2 linked regions of the Macaca fascicularis genome follow. The protein of the gene in region 2 interacts with the protein of the main gene of each other region in a biochemical or structural test. Links are inferred from orthologs where the notes say so. Each region holds a gene or a part of one and is shown on either strand. Other genes may lie near its edges.

Evidence for each region.
Region 1: the proteins of RAD51 (region 2) and RAD54B form a complex in vitro, tested with the Homo sapiens proteins (2 studies listed by BioGRID). The link is inferred for Macaca fascicularis from reciprocal best matches to the Homo sapiens genes RAD51 and RAD54B.

The regions. Positions count from the first base shown.
Region 1 is NC_088382.1:104,022,893-104,027,377, reverse strand, and holds the end of RAD54B (DNA repair and recombination protein RAD54B), read left to right. Parts: intron 1-2,736; coding exon 2,737-2,954; 3' UTR 2,955-3,146; downstream 3,147-4,485. UniProt on the Homo sapiens protein: Involved in DNA repair and mitotic recombination. May play an active role in recombination processes in concert with other members of the RAD52 epistasis group.
Region 2 is NC_088381.1:17,222,291-17,227,862, reverse strand, and holds the start of RAD51 (DNA repair protein RAD51 homolog 1), read right to left. Parts: upstream 3,368-5,572; 5' UTR 3,097-3,367; intron 1-3,096.

The DNA.
Region 1 (4,485 bases), on a different chromosome or scaffold from region 2:
GCAACTCCCATTTTTAAAACCTTCAGATCTTATGAGACCCATTCATTATCACAAGAACAGCACAGGAAAGACCTGCCCCCATGATTCAATCATCTCCCACTGGGTCCCTCCCACAACACGTGGGAGTTATGGGAGCTACAAGATGAGATTTGGGTGGGGACACAGAGCCAAACCATATCATCCACAGATGTACAATTAGGTTATTTCCCATAGGTGTGTATTTTATTCATGTATCATTTTGAATATCTTCAAGTATACCTATAAGGTAAATTTTTAGTATTGCTGAGTCAGAGAATATGTACATTTGTAATTTTGATAGACACTGCCAAAATGCCCTTTGTTGGATGTTGTGTCAATTTACACACCCCCAGAAATACACTAGAATGTCTATTTTCCCATAGCCTTGCCAGGTTAGTGGATTATCAAATGCTTGTATTTTTGCCAATCTGATAGTAAGAAAATAATATATTGGTATAGTTTTAATATGCTATTCTCTTATTATGAATGAAGCTGAGCTTTTCCTAAGTTTAAGAACCATACTTCCTTTATGTGAACCATCTCTTTATATTGTTTGCCCATTTAAAACATTAACAACCTAATTTTTTGTTAGGTATATCTATTATTCAAATAAATATATTAAAATATGAAACTATGATGGTGGATTAGACAAAACTATTGTTATTTTTATAATTTTCTGCTTCATATATTTTATATCTTCCTTGTGAAATTTGTTTTTCATTATGGTTTCTCTATTTTATTGTTATGTAGTGATTGCCTTATCCCTAATGCCTTTTGTTTCATTTTGTCTTAACATATGAAACTAGCTTTCTTATCGTTGGGATTTGTCTGGTCTATTTTTTCCCATCTGTTTACCTTAAATCTGTCTATGTTCTTATATTTTAGGTATCTATTGTCAACAGCATAAAGCTGGATTTTATTTTTTGTCCAGTCTGATATTTTGTTTTAGTGAGAATATTTAGTTTGTTTGCATTTATAATTATTAAGGTATTTTTATTTATTTCTACTGTCTTTTCATTTTTTATTTTTAACAAGGGCCTAATACTGGCTCTTAGTTAGCCAGAGGTTTTTTTGGTCAGTACTTTGCAGGTGTTATTCTATTATCTTCTAATTTTTGAAGCAATCTTGTCGTCTCTTTTCTTAAAACCTCAATGATTATGAATACTGACAAGGATTTGATGATATTAAGGAATGACTTGAGGCTTTTCTTTTAGGTGTGATAAAATTTCAAAGAAGTGTTTATCTTTTAGAAATGTAGAATGAAATGTTTATTAGTGAAATGATACATGCTATATATATATTATATTTATTTGAAATTTCCCATAATTAAAAGGTTAAAAAAATAAAACCTCCAATAGCTTCCTGTTGCTCTTAGGATAGATACTAAGTTAGGGCAGTCTAAATGCTGTAACAAACTAAAAAAGCACAATGGTCTAACACAATAGAAATATGTTTCTCATTTGTGTAACAGGTCATTGTGGGCATTTAGTGGACAGCCTTTCATAAAGTAATTTTGTGATCCAGGGTTCTTCCACTTGGAGCTCTTCCATCCCTTTGGACCTTAGAGTCCTCTGCTGGGTTCCCCTGCATCTGCCAGCCAGCAATGAGAGAAGAGATAAAGTAGAAAATTGTTCAGTTTGAAGTATATTTATAGTTCAGATCTGGAAGTGACATAGCTGCATTCCATAGGCCAGACACAGTGGCAGTTTCTAACTGTAAGGGAGGCTGGGAAAGGTGACTAAGTGCCCTGGAGGAAAGAGAAATGGATTTGGTGAATAACGGCTGGCCTCTGCCATTCATGTTTTGCATAATCCAGCCCTTGAATACTTGCATCACCTTGCATTACTTAACTTCTCTTGCATTATTCTTTGCTTTTACTCTATAGGCTCTAATTGCATAGGCTCCTATCAATTGCTTGATTATGCCAATGCCCCTTCCTTTTCATAGCTTTTTAATGTGCTTATCGTGGAATGCTTTATCTTTCTTCTCCATCTAGTTCTTTCCTCCTCATCTTTCAGATCTTAATAGAACATTTCCTCAGGGTGCCCTTCACTTACCTTCCAGACCAAGTCAACTTCTCTTGTCATATGTAAGGTAGTTCCCTGTATCTTTCCTTCATACCCTTACCTCTGTTTGTAATTCAGCTCCACAGTCCCTTATCTTCAATTCTGAAATCTAGAAAGCTCAAAAGATTTTTTTTTCTTCATAAATTTGTGACAAAATTATTTGTGGCAAAACCTTACCTAAATTGATGTGAGTTTATCGATAGTTTTTATTTAACTCATTTTGTAAGACTGTGACTTGCTACAGAATGTTGATGAGTTTCATTATGGAATGCTGACCCAGACTGTTCGAATTATATTCTGAATTTGGAAACATATCTGGCCCCACAGGTTTTAGGCAAGGGATTTTGAACTTGTAATACATTTTTTTGGATGATTATTTATTTAATATATATCTCTCCCACTAGACTGTAAGGTCCTTTAAGTCAGAGACCATGCCTGTGTTTCTTCATCATTTTACCTTTACTGTTTAACTCAGTACATAGTAAATAATTTATAAATGTTTGTAAAAAGAATGAATGAATTTGTCTTAACTTGAACCATGGTGATCAAATGTAATAAATCACATAAACGAAGTATCATGAAACAAAAAAGTATTGTATTTAGTAGGATATTGGCTTGCCTAAGGATTTTCTCATTGTTTTACTTATTGCAGGTGATTCGTTGGAAAAATTCATTGTCTCTAGAGATTGTCAACTTGGTCCACATCACCAGAAATCTAACTCCCTGAAACCTCTTTCTATGTCCCAGCTGAAGCAATGGAAACATTTTTCTGGAGATCATTTAAAAATTACAGATCCTTTTCTTGAAAGAATAACAGAAAATGTGTCATTCATTTTTCAGAATATAACCACTCAAGCTACTGGCACATAATGAAAGATTACTTCATGACATTCCATTGCTCTTCTTTTGAAAATTAGTATGGTAATTAAATGTACTATTTGAAAATTAATAGAATTATTTAAATTACAATATGTGTTGCAAAATATATTACTTTTGATACAACAGTCAAAATTGAGTGGTTTAAGTTTTTGTAAATATTAAACATTTAAATGAAAAATTAAAGATGTGCTTTTATCATTGTATAATTGTTAATAATTCCTTGATTAATATGCTTTCATTAAGTATTTACTGAGAAATTGTTATGAGGAATATAAAAAGGTAAAAATACTTAGTCTCTGTCTTTGGGAAAACTAATCTGATTAGAAATATTAGATGTTTGAAACAACTGAAAAACTTGGTAAGTTTAAAATGTAGCTCAAAGGAGGAAGAGAATGAGAGGCTAGGATTGCAAATGCTAAAGATGTTGGATGTAATAGTTGCTGCAGGGCAGTTTGAGCAAGAAAAGTCAGTAGGTTAGTGCAGGAGATGAAGGGTTTGAGAACACTTTAGAGCACTAGTTCCTAGTTTGGGACCTCAGACTTAGGCAGTTTATAAAGCCATGTCCACCAAATATTGCTTATGCACTGCATAAACGTTCAAATACCATCATTTAAGGGTTATCTGGAGTAATTTTTGACATTGAAAAGAGTGTTTTTTAGCTGTGCACAGTGACTCCAGTTTGTAATCCTAGTTACTTAGTAGGTAGAGGCAGGAGGATTGCTTGGGACCAATAGTTTGAGACTAGCCTGAGCAACATAGTGAGGCTCTGTCTCTAAAAAATAAACTTAGCCAGGTATGGTGGCACATGCCTGTAGTTCCAGCTACTTGGGAGGCTGAGGCAGGAGGATTGCTTGAGCCTAGGAGTTTGAGTTTGCAGTAAACTATGATTGGATATGATCCAATATCCATCGGGTGACAGAGTGAGACCCCATCTTAAAAGAAAAAAAAAAGGGGTTTAATGTACAAAGCAAGCTTTAGAAGACTGAAGCTTGCAAAGAGAAAGGAGTTACTAATTTAATTTCCAAGTGGGGCTTCTGTAATTAGCTTTTGTTTCCATTTAGGAAAATTTCCTTTAGATGGAAAATACAGGTATACCCTGGAGATATTGCAGGTTTGGCTACAGACCACTGCAATAAAATGAATATCACAATAAAGCGAGTAACACATTTTTTTGGTTTTCCAGTGCATATGAAAGTTATGTTTATGCTATAGTCTACTAAGTATGCAACAGTATCATGTCTGAAAAATGATGTATTTTCCTTAATTTAAAAATAATTTGCTAGAAAATGCTAACGGTCATCTGAGACTTTAGTGAGTTGATGTCTTTTTTTTTGTTTTTTGAGACGGAGTCTTGCTCTGTCACCCAGGCTGGAGTGCAGTGGCACGATCTTGGCTCATTGCAACCTCTGCCTCCTGGGTTCAAGCAATTCTTCCTGCCTCAGCCTCCCAAGTAGATGGGATTACAGACATCCGCCACTATGCCCAGCTAATTTTTGTATTTTTAGTGGAGACAGGGTTTCAC
Region 2 (5,572 bases):
CAATATATATGTACTGAAATATCAACTTGTTCTCATAAATATGTACAATCATCTGTCAAAAACAAAGTAAAACTTATTATTTTCACAACCTTGGGATATAAAAAGATTTCTTGAAACGATACATAACGCACTAGCCAAAAAGGAAAAGACTGAAAGCTGAACTACATTTAAATTCAGCACTTCGGCCAGGCACTGTGGCTCAGGCCTGTACTCCCAGCACTTTGGGAGGCTGAGACGGGCAGATCACCTGAGTTCAGGAGTTCGAGACCAGCCTGACCAACATGGAGAAACCCTGTCTCTACTAAAGAAAAATACAAAATTAGCCGGGCGTGGTAGCACATGCCTGTAATCCCAGCTACTCAGGAGGCTGAGGCAGGAGAATCGCTTGAACCCGGGAGGTGGAGGTTGCGGTCAGCCAAGATCGCGCCATTGCACTCCAGCTTGGGCAACAAGAGTGACTCTCTGTCTCAAAAGGAAATATAAATAAATAAAATAAAAAATAAAAAAATAAATTCAGCACTTCTATTCATCAAAGGACACCACTAAGAGAATGACAAGTCAAACCACAGTAGAGGTGAAAACATTTAGCACAAACATAACTGAGGGCTGATAACCAGAATATAAAGAACTTTGGCCTGGCGCGGTGGCTCAAGCCTGTAATCCCAGCACTTAGGGAGGCCAAGACGGGCGGATCACGAGGTCAGGAGATCGAGACCATCCTGGCTAACACGGTGAAACCCCGTCTCTACTAAAAAATACAAAAAACTAGCTGGGCATGGTGGCGGGCGCCTGTAGTCCCAGCTACTGGGGAGGCTGAGGCAGGAGAATGGCGCGAACCCGGGAGGCGGAGCTTGCAGTGAGCTGAGATCCGGCCACTGCACTCCAGTCTGGGCGACAAAGCGAGACTCTGTCTCAACAAAAAAAAAAAAAAAAAAGAACTTCACATCAGTAAGAAAAAGTAGAAAAATAGACAAGAGATTTGAACAAGTACATCACAGAAGATATCCAAATGGGAAAAACATATGAACAAATACCCAACCTCATTAGTAATCAGGAAAATTAAAATCACATTGAGACATTACTGTGTAACCAGCAGAATAGTAAAAAAAAAAAATTTTTTTTTTTTTTTTTTTTTGAGACGGAGTCTTGCTCTGTCGCCCAGGCTGGAGTGCAGTGGCGCCATCTCGGCTCACTGCAAGCTCCGCCTCCCGACTCATTGCATCTCGGTTCACCGCAATTCTCCTGCCTCAGCCTCCCCAGTAGCTGGGACTACGGGCGCCCGCCACCACGCCCGGCTAATTTTTTTTGTATTTTTAGTAGAGACCGGGTTTCACCATGTTAGCCAGGATGGTCTCTATCTCCTGACCTTGTGATCCGCACGTCTCAGCCTCCCAAAGTGCTGGGATTACAGGCGTGAATCACCGCGCCCGGCCAGAATAGTTAAATATAAAAGGCTGAAAATCGTGTTGTCAAGCATGTAAAACAACGAAACACTCAACACTCCTGATGTATTTTTATATAAAATTCAAAAACGAGCAACATTAGTTAATCGCATTAGAAACCAGTGTACCAGTTACCACTGTAAAAAGGGGAAAATATTAAATACTACATAAGGAAGGCTTCTGGGGACCATTCTATTAAGTGGTGATTACGTAGGTGTACATTCATTTTGTCTTGCTCTATCGCCCAGGTTGGAGTGCAGTGGCCTGATCACGGCTCACTGCAGCTTATACTTCCCAGGCTAGATCCTCCCTTCTCAGCCTCCTGAATAGCTGGGCCTACAGGTGCACGCCACCAAGCCTGGCTAATTTTTTCTATCTGTAGAGATACTGGTCTCACTATCTTGACCAGGCTGTTCTCGAACTCTTGGGCTCAATTGTCCTCCCGCCTCCACCTCCTAAAGTGCTGGGACTACAGACTTGAGACACTACACCCGGCCAGTATATTTTGTAATAATTCACGGAGTTGTATACAGTTGTGAATGTGCATTTTTCTACATGTATATTACATATCACTTTAGAAGTTTAAAAAAAAAAAAAAAAAGCCGGGCGCGGTGGCTCACGCCTGTAATCCCAGCACTTTGGGAGGCCGAGGCGGGCGGATCACAAGGTCAGGAGATCGAGACCACGGTGAAACCCCGTTTCTACTAAAAATACAAAAAAAAATTAGCCGGGCGCGGTGGCGGGAGCCTGTAGTCCCAGCTACTCAGGAGGCTGAGGCAGGAGAATGGCGTGAACCCGGGAGGCGGAGCTTGCAGTGAGCCGAGATTGCGCCACTGCACTCCAGCCTGGGCGACAGAGCAAGACTCTGTCTCAAAAAAAAAAAAAAAAACAGGGGCCAGGCGCGGTGGTTCACGCCTGTAATCCCAGCACTTTGGGAGGTGGAGGCGGGTGGATAACCTGAGGTCAGGAGTTCGACACCAGCCTGACCAGCATAGTGAAACCCTGTCTCTACTAAAAATACAAAAATCAGCCAGTCGTGGTGGCGGGAGCCTGTAATCCCAGCTCCTTGGGAGGCTGAGGTAGGAGAATCGCTTGAACCCGGGAGGCGGAGGTTGCAGTGAGCCGAGATCGCGCCACTACACTCCAGCCTGGGCTAAAGAGCGAGACTTCATCTCAAAAAAAAAAAAAAAAAAAAAGTTTTAAGAAAACCAAGCCTCACTTCAGATCATTCTCTAGGCATCATGCGAATGGTTTTCCGCATTAGATGACGAAAATACTGTTTTGGCAATTGCAGGTTGGTACTTTCTAAGCACGGTGTAACGGAAAGACAGACCAAGAATCCGGAAGCCCTGGCTGTGATATTAAACAGCTGTGGCTACACCGCTCTGATCTCAGACTCCTCGCTCAAACTCATAAAACGGGTGTTGGCTATGAAGGCTCTAATGTTTCTCCCCTAGTTCTAAAGACTGGGATCCACCTGTGTTTTCGCCCCAGCAACTGAGAGTCGGTCGGACGCGGACACGCCCTGCCACGTCCGGGTTTCACACTGTGCGCGGAGACCCCACCTGCCCCTGAGCATTGGACCGGCCAGGACCCAGGTGGGCGACGACGAGCCGCAGCTATAGAGGGCCCGGCCTGCGCCTCACACACTCACCTTGGCCCTCAGCGCTGCTCTTTCCAACGGGCCGCGCGCTCCGACTTCACCCTGCGGGGGTGACACGCGCCTGACCCGCGCGGACCCCAACGCCCCTGGCTTACGCCCTACTTCAAGTCTACTCGCTTGCCCCAGCCTTCTGCGCACAACCCAGACGAGTTTCAGCTCCCAGCTGCACGCCTCGGGAAGCGCCGCGCTCTCCTTAAGGGTCGGTCTCTGGTCGCTGGGCGCGCTCCGACGGCGGCTTTCAGAATTCGCGCCAAACCCTCTCGCCCAGGGTCACGCACGCGTCGGCGTAACGTATCTCCGCCTTCCGGATCCGCCTTCTTGCCCCTTCCGCCCACCGCGCTAGCCCAAGACTGGAACTCGAGAGCTTGATCCTGCGCGAGGTTACGGACTGCCCTCTTCCCTTTTTGCGTAAGGACTAATTCAGACTTTATGCCGGGCGCGGTGGCTCACGCGCGTAGTCCCAGCTAACTCGGGAGGCCGAGGCGAGAGGATCGTCTGAGCCTGGGAGTTCTAGGCCAACCACGGCAACGCCCCTACTCTTACCCTAGTCCCTCGCGGGTGGGGCGAGGGTTTTCGGGGGACGGTGGGGGAAGACATCAGAGTTGCTGTGGTCTGTTTACCAGATCGAAGACTACAACTCCCAAGAGGTAATGCGTCGGCCCGGGACTGTATCTCCCGGCATGCACCGCCGGCGGGCCTGCGAGTTCCTACCGTCATCCCAGCTGGACTATTACCTGGAGCCGGACTATTACCTGGAGCCTTAGCACTCTTGTGGTTTGTTTCAGCAGTATCTGAACGTCAGCTTTTGGCGCTGGTAGCTCTGAGCCTCCGACTCACATTCCTGGAACCAGGTGCTTTCCAGGCCTCATGGAGGTGGAGGAGCTGAGGAAGCTCGAGAAGATGGATAGAAGTGAGAAATGGAGCTATCGGAGGGGAGAGGGAAATGGCTGGAATATTCGTCAATCTGTGGTGCTTTACTGGAGATTTGCAGGACTTCAGAGGAAGGGGGCATTGAATTTCATAACCTAAACCGTCTCGTGGTTTACCAGAAAGTTTTGACCCGTGATTCCGGTTTTAAAGGCTGAGTAGGGCCGAGAATCGCTTGAACCCGGGAGGAAGAGGTTGCAACGAACCGAGATCTCGCCACTGTACTCCAGCGTGGGCGACAGAACGAGAGTGTCTCAAAACAACACAAGCTAGCTGAGTAGGATTTCTTGGGCGAAGTGGAAGACACTATAAGCAGATAGGGTAGTATGGGCATGGAAACAAACTACATGATTAAAGATTAGTATTATCTAGCGAGGGAGGAAAAGTGCCAGAACAAGTGCCGAAACTGGAAAGTTACATTTAGTTCAGGATATGAAGAGGCTTAAGATCATATAAGGCCTGCACAGTGGCTCACGCCTGTGATCCCAGCACTTTGGGAAGCCAAGGCAGGAGAGGATCGCTTGAGCTCAGGAGTTGGAGGCCAGCCTGGGCAACATAGTGGGACCCCATATCTCCAAAAAGAATAAGCTGGGCATGGTGGCTTGTGCCTGTGGTCTCAGCTATCCCGGAAGCTGAGGTGGGAGGATTGCTTGAGCTCAGGACGTCAAGGCTGCAGTGAGCTATGATGGGACACTGCACTCCAACCTGGGCTACAGAGTGAGATCTTGTCCCAAAAAGCAAGCAACAACAACAACAAAACATGTAAGAAGAGGCCAGGCGCGGTGGCTCAAGCCTGTAATCCCAGCACTTTGGGAAGCCAAGGTGGGTGGATCACGTGGTCAGTTCAAGACCAGCCTGGCCAAGATGGCAAAACCCCATCTCTACTAAAACTACAAAAAGTAGCTGGGCGTGGTGACGCATGCAAGTAATCCCAGCTACTTGGGAGGCTGAGGCACAGAATTGCTTGAACCTGGGAGGTGGAGGTTGCAGTGAGTCGAGATCACCCCACTGCACTCCAGCCTGGGCAACAGAGCAAGACTCCGTCTCAAAAAATACATATATAAGGAGCTTTGTTCTCTAGGTACTGAATAAATCACTGAAAGTTTTTAAGAAGACAAGTTATTTGGTTAGATCTATTTCCCCTCCACTATTACTAATTTGTTATTATTATTATTATTATTTTTTTTTAGATGGAGTCTCACTCTGTTACCCAGGCTGGAGTGCAGGGATGCGATCTCAGCTCACTGCAACCCCCACCTCCCAGATGCAAGCGAGTCTCCATGCCTCAGCCTCCCAAGTAACTGGGATTTTAGGCACTCGCCACCACACCCAGCTAATTTTTTGTATTTTTAGTAGAGACAGGGTTTCACCATGTTGGCCAGGCTGGTCTCAAACTCCTGACCTCAGGTGATCCACCTGCCTTGGCCTCCCAAAGTGCTGGAATTACAGGTGTGATCCATCATGCCTGGCTTTTTTTTTTTTTTTTTTTTTTTGAGACGGAGTCTCACTCTGTCACCCAGGCTGGAGTGCAGTGGCCGGA